2 linked regions of the Stegostoma tigrinum genome follow. The protein of the gene in region 1 binds, or shares a complex with, the protein of each later gene. Links are inferred from orthologs where the notes say so. Each region holds a gene or a part of one and is shown in the gene's direction. Other genes may lie near its edges.

The links. Proteins that work in one complex are often made in the same cells at the same time.
Region 2: tmem67 (region 1) and transmembrane protein 237-like share a complex: the UniProt entries of both Homo sapiens proteins name them as parts of the tectonic-like complex. The link is inferred for Stegostoma tigrinum from reciprocal best matches to the Homo sapiens genes TMEM67 and TMEM237.

The regions. Positions count from the first base shown.
Region 1 is NC_081358.1:90,652,810-90,660,397, forward strand, and holds the start of tmem67 (meckelin), read left to right. Parts: upstream 1-4,512; 5' UTR 4,513-4,622; intron 4,623-4,848; exon of another isoform or gene 4,849-5,074; 5' UTR 5,075-5,174; coding exon 5,175-5,358; intron 5,359-7,588. Other genes in the region: rbm12bb (RNA binding motif protein 12Bb), read right to left, coding at 1-1,678. UniProt on the Homo sapiens protein: Required for ciliary structure and function. Part of the tectonic-like complex which is required for tissue-specific ciliogenesis and may regulate ciliary membrane composition.
Region 2 is NC_081360.1:20,407,608-20,414,611, reverse strand, and holds the start of transmembrane protein 237-like, read left to right. Parts: upstream 1-3,943; coding exon 3,944-4,000; intron 4,001-5,310; coding exon 5,311-5,396; intron 5,397-6,466; coding exon 6,467-6,480; intron 6,481-7,004. UniProt on the Homo sapiens protein: Component of the transition zone in primary cilia. Required for ciliogenesis.

The DNA.
Region 1 (7,588 bases):
GTTCAAACACCTCTTCTGAAGTAACCACCTTTAGCACAACTTCTCTTCCTCCAAGCTTTTTACCATATAATCGCTCAGCACTTAGTACTTCATCTTCAGACTTGAACTTGACCAGAGCCTCCCCTAGTCCAATGCCATTACTATCAACAAGTATTCGGATCCCATGTTCAGCAACACCAAATCCCTCAAAGAATTTATGGATCTCAGCTTTGGAGATATCAAATGGAAGATTACGAGCATAAATATACAATCTTGGGGAATGCGCTCCTTCTCTAGACGGGTACATTTTTTCTTCAATTCTATAGGCAGATTTTTCTCTTGATCTTTGCTTCTTAATAGTGTCCATCAACTCTATCATAGCTTTTTTAGTGAGCGGATATAGATAAACTGCACGGTTTGCAATGTATGTCTTATGGTATCTTAAAGCTTTACGCATCTCAGCATCATTTCTAAACTTGACAAAGCATTCCTTAGTATTTTTACCATGAGGATCTTCTACAAGGTAAATCTGGTCATCTGTTATGTTTAGTTCATTAAAGAAATTTCGTACATCTTTTTTTGAAATACTATATGGTGTATTTTTTAACTGCATCCAATAGTCTTGATCTTGAGGGGAATAAGATCGAGACCTGTGCCTTCGAGGTGACCTTGATCGAGTTTGAGAATGGAAATGTTTATTTTCACGATGAGGGGAACGACCTCGATTGTGTCGGTTTAGATCCAAATGTCTATCATCTACAAACAAATCAGATCCCCCAGAAATCCAGTCTAGTTCTGTAGCTCGATACACCTCGACAAACCTTTGCCCCATGTATTTTTTGTGACGCTTTAGTCCCTCAGCTGCATCCCAAGAACTGGCAAACCGTACAAAACACTCTCCATTATTCAGACCTCGGTAATCCTTTTGTAGACGAACTGCTTCCACTTGTAAACCATGGAAGAATTCTCTCACTTGCAGCTCTCCTGCAGAATATGGCATGCCTTGCAGATGCAAATAAACATCATCAGTATGAAAAGCTCCTTGCTCTCTCCTTTGATTATAAGCTGAATCAGCAAAACGATCCATTGACCCAGAGCCATTAAATTTATCCAAACTATCACTCATTGCTCCAGAGGTCATTCCAAATAATGCAGACATTGAGGAACTAGGAGCAACTGCAATGTTCTGTGGAGAAGATAAGGCCATTGTCGACATATTGCCACTCATCATTGGATCCATACGAGTACCATAGCTGTTCATGTCAGAACTTCCAATTTCACCAGGATGAAAGGCATCCCTATTAATTTCATGTTGCATTGCTGCAACTAAGTTTTCAGCTAGTGTAGAAGACATACTACCTAAGCCACCTGTGCCAGAATTGCTGAATCCCGACCTTCCGTAACTGGATGTTTCTCCACTGGGACGTGCATATCTCTTACGACTCATCTCAATAGTACTCTGCATTTCGTTTCTGCTACTTAATGTTAGCTTTGTTCTACTCCCTTTAAGAAATTCACCCGATCTCATCAAAGCAAGCCGTGCATCTTCATCTGTAGCAAATACAATGAATGCCTCTCCCAGTTCACCACCAATTATATGCACCCCTCCATCAGGAATGGTTAATCTAGAGAAGAAGTGACGAATATCCAAGGTTCCTGCAGAAACTGGGAGCCCCTGCAAGCGGATGACCACAGCCATGCTGAACTCTATCAATAGAAAATGTTACCTGCAGGCAAGAAAGGCACACAGGATGACGTCAAATTATGTCAAAAAAGGTTCTGGATACTGCATTAACTTCCAAATATAATATTAATAAAAGTCAGAAATGTTAATTTTAAGAATAAAACAGATTCTTCTTACTCTGCACAAATTTGTTTAAACGTTGACCTTCAATTCAAAAAGTATAACCAAATCTCAAAAGCTCCCAACTCTCAAACCACCAAAAACACTAAAGTTGTCTGTGAAAATTCTGAAGATATCTTCCAAGCCACAACAGTTCTCCACAAGATCTGATGATGACTGAAATTGTCTTTAATATGAAAAATGCCTCAATTTTAAATCAGCCACAGCACCTCAGTGGAATTCATCTCGAAATTACATGATAGATCTAAGTTCTAGTAATACTTCAAAACTGCTGTCCAAGTAAGTGCTGCTAATTAGTACTGTATCATTCCTTCTCCAAACAAGGAATGTAAAAAAGGACCTAGGGTTAAAGTTCAACTGAAGTTAGCTAAAAACAAAATACAGTCTATTTTGCAAACTGCAACCATGGCTCTTTATATAAAGAGTCCATCACATCTTTTCTCCCACATGGTAATCCACCCGTCAAATAACTTCACTCCAGGCTTGGACAATTCCTATTTATTGTATTCTCAAAAAAAATACAAACAAACCACCTCAAACTAGTAACTCAAATTTTCTTTTCCCTTCACGTATTGCTCTGAACTCTGCAAACGACTCCAGATATAAAGCAAATGCAAAATCCTAAAATCCACATTGGGGCATTTTCAAAATGTTGTAAATGACTCCAGGCAAACTGAAAAATCCACTACTGCACATAATTCAGCAGTCCACTTGAGAAAGAAGTTACTTGATCTAAAAATATGTTTCTTTCAGGTATATCACAACATTAATGTTTTCGCGAAGATCTCGGGTGCTGTAGACTTGATTCTGTAGCAACTCAAAGGCAGGTTCAGCTAACAATATAGCGTATGCATTTAATACAACTAGAATTCTTCTTTTTTTTCAAATCTTGATTCTTTTGAAGTGATAGTCCTTACGTTTATGTTTTTGTTCCATAAAGGAGATTGAAAGTGATTGTTCTGGAGTTGCACTTTGTATACACAGACTCTCACCATCTGTTCAGAACACAGATTCCTGGTCTAAATACTAGTTAAAACTATGGGCAATAGGAATAATGCACATAATTCGGTAATAAAGCAAAATTAAAGCAACAGTCGCAAAAAACCGAATATGCACTTTGAGAAGTTTAGATTACTCCAATGCGTTGGGCTAAACAGCAGTGAACAAATATAGCAACTCAACTATTGTAAAAATAGAAAGATCAGATTCAAAATTTTGTTGCCAACTGTCGTAATTCATTTACAAGCAGAAAAAAAATCTAATATGCTACACAGGACAAAGTTAAATACTAACTGTGCATTATAAAATATATCTATTAGTTCAATAAACACAGTTTTTTCTTAACTGCTGCTTCACAATGAGATGTAAACCTACACTAAAACACAGAAATTGTGATGCACAGGAAATGCAAGTGCTCTGCAGCTTGGTGTGCACATTAACAAATTTTAACCCATGCATGGCTACTTCAGAAATGATACATTTATTACAAGTTTATTTTCACTTTCCCTTTGGTTTGAAAGTCACTATTCGTTACTGAATCGTGACATTTGCAATAAAGAAACTCAAAAGTGTCAAATGGTTATGCGACAATAATAAAGGTTTATAGTTTATCCCAGTTAGACAATTTTCAGTCACCTACCATTTGTATGACACTAACCTGTAAAAAGGTTTCTTTTAAGCAGATGCTTGAACAGATTCGTTAAAATCAACTCTACAGACTGCAAAACAAAAGAACAAGATTAAACCTGTAATAAATCCATTTCAAATCAAAATAATGGTGGGTTTATCGAGTTATAAATTTCAAGCACCTGCCATTGAACAAACTTTATCTAATTAAAAACATTTCAATAAAGTTATTCCACACCGAAAATTCATTTCATTGACTTGTGAAAATTTTGCTATAACAAAAAAATCCATTTACAGCAGGCCACGACCTTGATTAGAGAGCATTACTTTCCCACTATAACAGAAATAGCAAGTGCTGAAAATTGATAAACGGCTTCAAGAATTAAATTCTTCTTTCCTAGAAACGATGATAAATCTAAAAATAATTCAATAATTCTGAGAAACCGGCCAGTGTTATCAAACAATGGTTAATGCCAAACAACTCAAGGCAAATGATCAAATGTCTGATGAATGATTAAGTCAAAGATTCAAGTTTTGATTAGCATTTTGAACAGCATGAAATGGTTGAGAGGCTCAGCAGGGAATTCAACAGCTTAGTGCCTGCAAATCAGTGGATTCAAATCAAGGAAGTGTATCAAAAACGCTTCAATGCTTTTCCAGATCAAAATGACGGGCTATATCCATGTCGATCATTAGTGATTAAGACAATTAAGACCGATATATAATACAGCCTTTTCCTTTGAAAAGCCGTTTCTGATTCAGAAATGCTTATTTGCCTCAGAAAACTACATTCAAAAATCACTATAGCGGGTTTGGTAATAGAGCCAAATAGACAAGCAGGGTGCTTGACAACGTTATCGGGAACTGTTCAAACTCATACCATACTGAATGAAATAAATCCGTTTCCCAAGCAGAATCGTTTAAAGTGTTTTGTTTCCCAACCCCACCCCCCAGTATTTTTAAGTCTTCGTTTGTTTAAATCGCAGGTCGTCGAGATAAAACGGTCAGACAATTCAGGTCAAAGGTGGAACAGGCGTAGGTAACCTCTGCAAGGATTCAATTTATTTAGTACGCAGCCCACTCCACGTGAACAAAAATGTTCGTGCGGGCGGGAGCTGCAAGCCAAAGGGAAAAAAACCGAAGCGGCAATAAGGTAAGTGGCTGGGCCTGCACTTTTACTACATCCACTCTCCAAACTCCCCCGCCCCAGTTCGGACTCGCTCCTCTCCAGCAAAGGCCCGGTTTTTCCACCCGACCCGGAGAAGGGAAAGACGCCCGCCGCCTCAGCATACGAACTGCTGCTTCCCAACACCCACCCCTTTGGAAAGACAGAAAAAGCCAGGTTAAAGGGAGGCAGTAGCCCGTCTACACCAACTAACCCGCCGCCGCCGTCGTCGCCTGGTCTCTTAGCCACCGACACGATGGCGCTTCCGCCGCCTCCGGAGAGAGAAGTCCTGACAGTTCTGTATCCAAATATAATAAATCAAAGCCCCATTGCTTGGGCAAACTCAAAGTCGATTGAGGTTCAGAACTCTACAGTATGGTTTGCCGATTTAAGTCTTGTTTTTATCTAGACCAGTGATCAAACGTTGTCTTTTTTTCCAGTGGAGTTATTTTGAAGCGGGGAGCTGTCAGGACCTGCTGCCTGCCCCGGTGTATTTTGGGAGAGCCGGAGGGCGGGCAGAAGAGACGGTTGGCTGTGGCAATGGGAATCGGGGAGGCGTTCCAGTGCTGGCTACTGCTGTTTCTCTTACAGCTACCGTTTACCCAGACCGTTATCCTTTCCATGCCTTTCCAAACCGCGAAACAATGCACCAAGCGAGAGTATTTTGACATTTCTCGTATGGTGTGCAGGCCGTGTGGCGCCGACCAGCAGTCAAGTAGCGATGGTGGGTAAAACTTGTCAGATGGTTTTTGAGGGCAGGGGTTGGTTGGTGTTTAGCGACAAGAAATAACTCCGCATGAAAAACGTTTGCTACGTAGCAGCAAGTAGGCTAGGCGGAGAACGATCGGTTTTTACTGGTTGAGGAGCCTACCCGACGACACAAAAAAATGACCGAAGGGAAAGGCCGTTCAGCCCGTCATGGGCATACTATCTCATTAATTAAGCACCATTATTTGACTCCAGTTGCCTACTTTTTCTCACCTGGATGTTTTGGAGATTAAATTAGGACACTAGCAAAAGATGGTACTCTTCCAAAAAAAAACGACAGTTGATCATTTTTAAATTTTGAGTTTGATGGTGTTAGATATCAGGTTGACAGCCGAGCACTCCGTCACGTATTTAACAAAGGTTTAGTAGTTAACTGCTCTTGTTGCTGCAATCTGACCTTGCATCCTCAGATCAGGTGGCCCAATATACACAGTGATCTTTTCCATTTTGGATGCAACTGCCAAATAGTAGGGCCTCCCAATGTTCCGGGGAGGGAGTGTGGGTTGGGCAGTGGTGTTAGCTGACATTTTCAGGTAGCCAGTTGTGGCAGCAATGATCAAATGTCCTTTCCCCGTCACGATTCCCTTTCCCCTCATATTACCCCACATGCCATTGATTTGTGACAATTTTCTATCCTTGCCTGGTTAGGGTCAAGTGGGAAAATGTTTGAGAAGCACTATCATCTCTAATGCTTAAACACTTCCCTCATATGTGTATTTAATTCGTTTAGCAATGTCACAATGAAGGTGTGCATATGAATGAATGCTTCTTTAGCCTCAAAAGGCAAAATGGCTGGTGTCTTCATTTGATTTTTCATAACTGTCTTGAGGTGCCCATTTATTTTTCTTCTGCACTGGAGTCATGCACTGAGACCATGAGATGTAGGAGCAGAATCACAGACTTGTTATAGTACAGAAGGAGGCCATTTAGCTCATCATGCATACACTGTTTCTATTACCTGTTGCCAATCCCTGCTTTATTCCCACATCCCTGTATACCATTTTTATGCAAGTAATCATACAATATCGTCTTAAACACCTCAATTGAACCTGCCTACAATGCATTTCCAGGTAGTTCATTCCATATGTAAACTATCTGATAAAATTTTCTCATGATCATTGCCTAGTTTGTGTATCACTTTAAATCTATGCCTTCTCATTCCTTTTTCTTTTACAAGTGGGAACAGCAACTCCCGACTTGCTCTATGCAGCCTACTCATGATTTTGAAAACCTCTAGCAATTTCCTCCAGCCACCTTCTCTCGAAGGAGAACACTTCAACTTCTTGAAATATGCCCTCGTCACTGAAGTCTCTCATTCCTGGAACCTTGTTTGTAAATCAGTTCTCAACTCTGCTTTCTCTGTGTGCCATAACTGTTCAGCTATGGTTGAACAAATGTTGTACAAGTTCAACATCACCTCCGTACATCTTGTATTCTGTGCCCCTGTTAATGAAGCCAAGAGGGCTGTATGTTTTATTAACTGCTCTCTTCACTTGTTCTGCCACCTTCAATGATCTGTGCACATAAACACTCAGGTCTTTCTGCTGCTATCTCTTTTAGAATTGTAAGCCCTCTTTCATGTTGTTGTTGTTGTTCAATGTTCTTCTGACCAAAGTGCATCACCTCAAACTTCTCTGTATTGAACATTGTTTGCCACGTATCTGACACTCTACAAATGTGTCATAGAAACATAGTAGATATAAGCAGGAGGAGGCCATTCAGCTCTTGAGCCTGCTGTGCCATTCTTCACAATCGTGGCTGATCATCCAACACAATAGTCTAATCCTGCTTTCTGCCTTTGATATCATTTGTTCCAAGTGCTATGTCTAGTCGCCTCTTGAATGCATTCAGTGTCTTGGCTCCAACTACTAGAATTTCCCTGGCTCACCATTCTTTGGGTGAAGAAATTTCTCCTCTTCTCTGCCCTAAATAGTTTTCCCTGAACCTTTATCCTGCAACCCTGGTTCTGGACACACCCACCATCGGGAACATCCTACATGCATCTAGCCTGCCCACTCCAGTTAGAATTTTATAAGTCTCTGAGATCACCACCCCCCCCCCCCCCCCCCCCCACCCCGCATTCATCTGAACTCTAGCAGAAACAATTCCAACCTAGTCAAGCTCTCCTCATATGTCAGACCCACCATTCCCAGAATCACCTTTGCTGCACTCCGTTGAGAGCAAGA
Region 2 (7,004 bases), on another chromosome or scaffold:
TTCCTCTCCATTTTTTTTCCTCTCCATTTTATTCCACTCCATATTTTCTCTCTCCATTTTTCTCTCTCCATTTTTTTTCTCTCTCCATTTTTTTCTCTCTCCATCTTTTTTCCATTTTTGTCTCTCTCCATTTTTTCTCTCTCTCTCTCCATTATTTTTCTCTCTCTCTCTCCATTGTTTTTTCCATGTTTTTTCCTCTCTCTCTCCATTTTTTTCTCTCTCCATTATTTTCCCATTTTTTTCTCTCTCCATTTTTTTCTCTCTCTCTCCATTTTTGTTCATTTTGTTTTCTCTCTCTCTCCATTTTTTCTCCATTTTTTTCCATTTTTTTATAGTTTTTCTCAGGTTTATTGGGGTCTCCAGGGGGTAGTGGCTTCCATTGTTTTTTATTTTTTCTTCCCATAAACCCCCCCACACTACCTTCCACAGAACCTTCCCATCCTCACACCCATCCCACACGAGCCGGCACCACATGGCCATGGGGGCGGACTGTGGTGCCTACTGGCCTCAGTACCCCGGGGTCTGACCCCCACTCTAGTTTGCTGATGGCTTCTTGCTAAAGGGGAAGGGGGTGCTGTTGCATCAAACGTGAGAAATACTAAGTAAGTATTAAGGGGAGAGTGCAGAAGTGATATATAAGAATAGTTCCAGGAACGAGGAACTTTACTTTGAGGATAGTTCGAAGAAGTTGGGGACTGTTCCCCTCGGAAAGAAGAGGCCTGAGAGGAGATTCGATGGAAAGTTTCAAAATCATGAGCGGTCAGGATGGAGTAGATAAGGAGAAGCCTGTAAAAGGAACGTGAACGAGAGATTTAAGTGTTGAGAGGAAAAAAATACTTGTTTTCGCAGCGAGTAGTTAGGGTATGGAATGTACCACCTAGAAGTCTGTCAGAGGCAGGTTCACGAGACATTCAAGATGACATTGGATGATTATTTAATAGTAATAGTTTGCAAGTGTATCGTGAAAAATCATGAGACTGGCACAAGGGAGTGATGTTATTCGAAGAGTTCGAGGGCAAATTGGTCTCTTTCTGCATCATAACAATTCTGTGAATAATCAAGCTCTGAGACTATGACGCTTGACCGCTGTTGTGAACGTCCACATGTTTTAAAAAGAAAACAGGGAGAAGATAGTGGGGGCAGGATTATGCACGTTTAATAATTTGTTTCAGAAAGATTCATGTCAGAACTTTGATAAATCAGAAGTTAGAGTTTATTTTTGACGTTAAATACAACAATGAACCAAAATAGAAGTTGCTGGAAAAGCTCAGCAGGTGTGGCAGCATCTGTGAAGAAAAATATTGGAGTTAACGTTTTGGGTCTGTTGACTTTAACTCTGATTTTTTTTCTTTTCAGATGCTGCTAGACCTGCTGAGCTTTTCCAGCAACTTCTGTTTTGGTTCCTGATTTACAGCATCTGCAGTTCTTTCGGTTTTTATTTTGTATCGATGAACTGGATAGCTTAACATGAATGGTAGGAAAGATATACAACCCACATGTAACAAGGAGTGCAAATTACAGTCAGATTGCCACTCAGTTCCTACTTTCTTCCATTAGGACTGAGCTCCACATTTCTTGCTGGCAATTCCGATCTCAAATCTTTCAGGATTACGGAGCTTGGTCAGAATGGCAGTGTTGGGGAGAATGCATTTAATCGAGTCAGGCTGTGGTTGTCAGGAGTCCAGGGTGATGTAGTTTGGGAAGTCAATGAGGAGTCATCTTAATATTCATCCAGGTGTTGGATTAGGTTTTTAATCTTTTAACATTTCCTGGATAATTATCAGCTTAAGTGAGATTGTTCTGAGGAAGGGTCACTCAACCCGAAATGTTAACTCTGATTTCCGTCCACAGATACTGCTAGACCTGCTGAGCTTTTCCAGCAATTTCTGTTTTTGTTTCTGATTTACAGCATGTACAGTTCTCTTGGTTTTTATTGAAATTTCGATTAGTGGACTCTTTGAGGTTTTCTAGTACAGGGGAATTGCGTATTGAAAAATTCCATTTCCTGGACAGTTTCCACTGATTCAGCTGCTTGGGTATTCTGCATGATCATGACATGCAACTCCTGTCCAAGCTGCATCAATGATTATCTGGCCATTGGATTATTTGAGCCAATGAATTCTCAACTGAAAGTGAGAATAGAAAAATGTCTAGGAAACAACATCTTTTGGAGTGATGAGAATTTGAATTTATGGATTTCGTGAGCAAATTTAATGCTTTTATCACAATCTTGCTCTGCCTTGAGTCAGCCAGAATAATGTTTGAATTCTTGCATTGTCTCCACATGCCTCCTGAAGGATCTGTTTCATCTTCACTCTCTTGGCACTGGCCACTTTGCCATTCTGTGTCTCCATCTGCCATGAATCACCTGTTGAGCCCTGACTGGCTCTCCTAGACATTCCAATGCAGTCATTACCTTACATTGACAGGGGAATCCTGGCTAATTACCCTGCTGCCTCCCCAAGCCATTGAGTTCATCACAAGGCGAGGTTTCGGAGCTCAAATGTAAGCAGCTGCTGTCCTGACTGAGAGATGACTAATGTCATCACCTGGGGTTTGAACAAGAAATGTTTTGGTCTATATTGGCAAATGACATCTTGTCATCCCAATTGAGTTACCAGGAAAAAAGCCTAACATTTTCAACAGGTCAGATGATGATGGTAGCTCTAGTATATTGTGGAAGAGACTGGAATCAGTTAAGAATTGGTTTTATTAATCAGCTCAGTTTAGTGTCATGAAGACCTTGGTGGGATTCTATTTGCCTGGCAGGAGAATGGTTAGAAAGCAATCTCCAATCCCTTCACTTTCTTCAAGCATTATTGTTCCACTGACAGTGAAGGGCCATCCCTACAGTGCCAGCTTTAAGAGGGAGAATATTCATCATGTTGTGTTTTACATTTGGTGACAAGATTTCCAAATCCTGCCCCCGTCACAGCTGTCATATGGATAGTCTACGAGCTAATCCACTTTGTGAAGGATTTAATGTTGGATTAGTTTGAAGTAAGGTCACTGTTGACCCATTTACTGAGATTCGCAGATCACAGACACCATGAAGAAGCAAGCGGTGAGAAGCTAGAGTTTAAGTTTGATCTGGAAAGGGAAAATCATTTTCATATTTGTGACACGGTAAATCCCACTTGATGGTACAAGAAACACTAACCTTTATTCACGTGCTGACAGGGTTTGTGTGGATTTCATTTTTTTGTTCTGTTTTTATTTTGAGTGCTGGCGTGAGAGATGTTTATAGCAGAACTTAGAGAGTTCATTGTGAATAACACACTCTTACCCTTGCATTATTCTCAATGAACTGTTGCCAGCACATTGTTTTCTGAAGAAGGGCCCAGACCCGAAACGTCAGCTTTCCTGCTCCTCTGATGCTGCTTGGCCTGCTGTAATCATCCAGTTCTACACCTTGTTATCTCAAGATTCTACAGCATCGGCAGTCCCTTCTATCTCTCTCAGCCCAATTTATCAGCAGTTTTCTTTTATCAAATCAATTTTGAAGAAAGTGAAAGTTTGTATTTATACAGTTCCTTTCTTTTATTGAGACGGCCTCAAAATTTTCATAAACAACCTACTATCTTTTTCAAGTATGGGGTAATATTCACTAAAATTCCACAAACAAAAAATGCAATATACGATCAGAAAAACTGTTTATGGACCTGTTGTTTCAATAATAAATTTTGGCTGTAACAAGAAAGGGCTCCTTTATTCAAACAGGATCATTTATGCCCTTCTGAGGGCAAATAGAGCTGCAGTTTCATGTTACATCTGGAAAAGCACGTCTTTGATAATATCAGCCTGGATTGTGGCCTCGGGGTGTCATAATGATTGTGTCAGGAACTGTGACAGAATGCCCCCGACAGCCTTCAGATGGTTGATTTGAGTCAGGAATTGACAGTGGCATGCATACTGTGTAATGGTGTCATCCTTGATATTGACGATGACTTTCTGTGGTTTTATTTCAGCGCCCACCACGTGCACTTCCACCAGTGCCAAGGTAAGACTGCTAAGAATGGAGCTACAGTTGTGTGTCACTGCCCTCTGCAACTGGAGAGTAACAAAAATGTGATACTGTGATGGTAAATATTTTGGTAAATTTTAGATCTGTGGTGGGTGGCTAATTTTAGTGGAGGTTGGGCAGTGGAACAGAATACAGGATCACTGAGTAGCATGTCAATGGCTGGTCCTGGGCTGTTGGAGTGCGTTGGTAGGATTGGCTTGGCGGTCAGGCTGCTGGGTTGTGAGACTGAGACTGTGTTTAGTATTAGGGCTGTTAAGTACTGATGCTGAGTTGAAATGGCTGAACTATTGGGTAGTGTTGCTACATGATAGGTATTGGTTAGGTAGATAGTGAGGTGGGTTAGGAATGCACTGTGTATTGCATAGGTTGGAAGCTAGCTGAAGTTAGTTAGCTGAAGAGTGGGCTGAGTCTTAGTTTGCTGTGAGCTATGTGTTAGGTGGGTAGCAGGCTGGGTGGTGACTAGCTGGGCAGTGGGCCAGGTGTTGGGTGAATGGATAATGAGCAGGGTGTTGGCGAGCCGGGAAGCAGGTTATAATTGTGGGCTAGCTGGACAAGTGGGCTGGCTGTTGGGTCATGGGTTGGGAGTTCAGTTCTGTGATATGAAATACAACAATGTATTTTTTCTACATTTGTGATTTGGTATCTTTTCCCTTTGCTCAAAGATAGTTGAATACATTAATTCTTTCCTGTGACTGAACTTGAATATTCTTTATACTAGTGGTGGAATTTGATGAGAGGAAACCATTATTATAATCCTGGAACTTACATCCACGAGTATAGTTTGGCAGCATCTAAACACCATGGACAGTAGTGTTTCAATAAGACAGCCAACCATACTTTCTCAAGGGCAGTTAGGTTTGGCCAATATTCAGCCCGCAAAACCTGGATCTGTTAAATGAATTTAAAAATATGACTGTGGAGTTACGTAGAAGATCACAACCTCAGTTTCTGGTAGTTGCAGGATCACCTGGAGCATTGCCATTATGTGCAACAGGAGGGTGTTGTTATAAATATTTTTGCCTAGTGTTGGTGGCAGCAGGGAAATCAAGCATGATTCATGATTCCTGTTTCTAACTGTCCATCTGTTAATCCCAGCTGGATGCTATGTAAGGTTGACTGTATGATAGTTGACTGTGCCACCAGCTTGTATTACCACTTCGATGAGACAAGATTGGCCAGTCTGTAACCATGATTCCTTGTACCACAACAAGAATCAGAGGCTTCAGGATTGAAGAAGAGAAAGATGCAAGGAATTTAAAATTTCAGTATGTGGTAACTCATGGAAGACTTGTGGTCCAGTGGGCAACATATCTGCCTTTGGGCCAGGAGCTCCAGGCTCAAATCAGACTCCAGGACTCAATGGCCAAAGAAGGTAATTTTATAATTTGGCCAAATCGGTTGCGTATCAATCCATATATGCTTCTGACAGACAGCACAAAGGTTGTATGGTATTGCTCGAAAGCTGTGTGATGGAAAGAAATAGAGACTCTGTAGTCATTGTCTGTAACTCCAGACTACATCATATACATAAAAATACATGTTCTCACGCCAGTGTGCACTCCTTGGAAAGGACAGATCGGCGTGCTTGATGCCAACAGCATGGGGTTTAATCCTTGTTTTGACTGAGGCAGATTTGCAACCTGCCTCCTTATCCTGCCTGTGTTGCAGGTCCTGCTGCATGTGCGTTGAATTTCTCTCCAGGCAGAGAATTCAAGAAGCCAGAAATCCAAACTGTAATCACTGGGAAATATTTTGCTGTTGTTGATGACAAATTATAACTCCAGCATAATGACTCAGCCTCCTTTTGGAGATAAATGGAAGTTATGTCTGACCATCCTATTAGTTGCAGAAGAAAGAAAAGGCTACGGGTTCCGTTAGCAGGTAGCTCAAATGCAAGGAAAATAATGTTGTTGCTCTGAGAATTGCTGTCTTGGATCTATTTGGAGATGTGTAGTACTTGCTGTAGTAAGAGGTTATTGTCTTTCAAAGGGAGAAGCAAAAGGTGATGTTTTGAGATGCTCTGGTTCAAGTTTTCAAGATTGTGAAGATAATTGAAAAAGTTGATAGAGTGCAGTTGTTTACATCTGTTAAGATTCAAATCCCAGGGGAATGGTTAGAAAATGATGAACTTAGGAGTAAGAAGGAAAATCAAAAGTCCCTGTTTGCTCAGTACCTAATCCAGTTGTGGTATATGACACATAGGGAGAAACATTGAACTGGAGGGGCCAAGGAGAATTTAGATGAGCACCTGGAAGGACACGGGATGGAATGATATGGTGATATTCTGAATAAGTTATATTGATGAATATAGACAAGACCTGTGAGTTGAGGTGTTCTCTGATAAAGGAGGACATTTGTTGGTTTTTCGTTTAGTTAATGTTTTACACTGTGTCTGTATGCTTACCTTGTTTATTTTCTTTCTCTTGGCTGATGGACCTGAAGCACCAAAGTCAAAGGTAAGCCTTTAATTTTAACCAGTCCTCCCACAGATGTCTGTGATGACTTGTTATTTTATTGACAGTTCTTGTTAAGTGAATTGGTTATTTAATAACTGGTGGACAAAGGAACTGCTGCACCTGTTTTCTGTCCAGCTATTGCTGCAGATGGTTGCAGATAATTTGTGCACCAGCTAAGAACAGAACTGCATGCAATAATCATGGTTGTTGAACACCAGATATTGAACGCTGTTTAGACAGGGACCAGATTGAGAGGCATCATTATCCTGCAAAACGATCTTTTAATCTGAATTTAGTAAGCTTCCTTCAGAGTTTTTACTTTAGTTAGTGTGCCTTCAGGGTTGTTGACACTAATTTTGTTTAATTTGTTTATTTTAAATAGTAGATGAGTCCAGCATATGCTTTTCTCGTCAGATTTTTATTCTGATTTGCCACTGACAACTTCACCACCATTGATTACATGTTCCTTCTATGTAAATACACCCAGTCAAGTTCTCACCCAATTTTTTTTTAAAATCACCCTG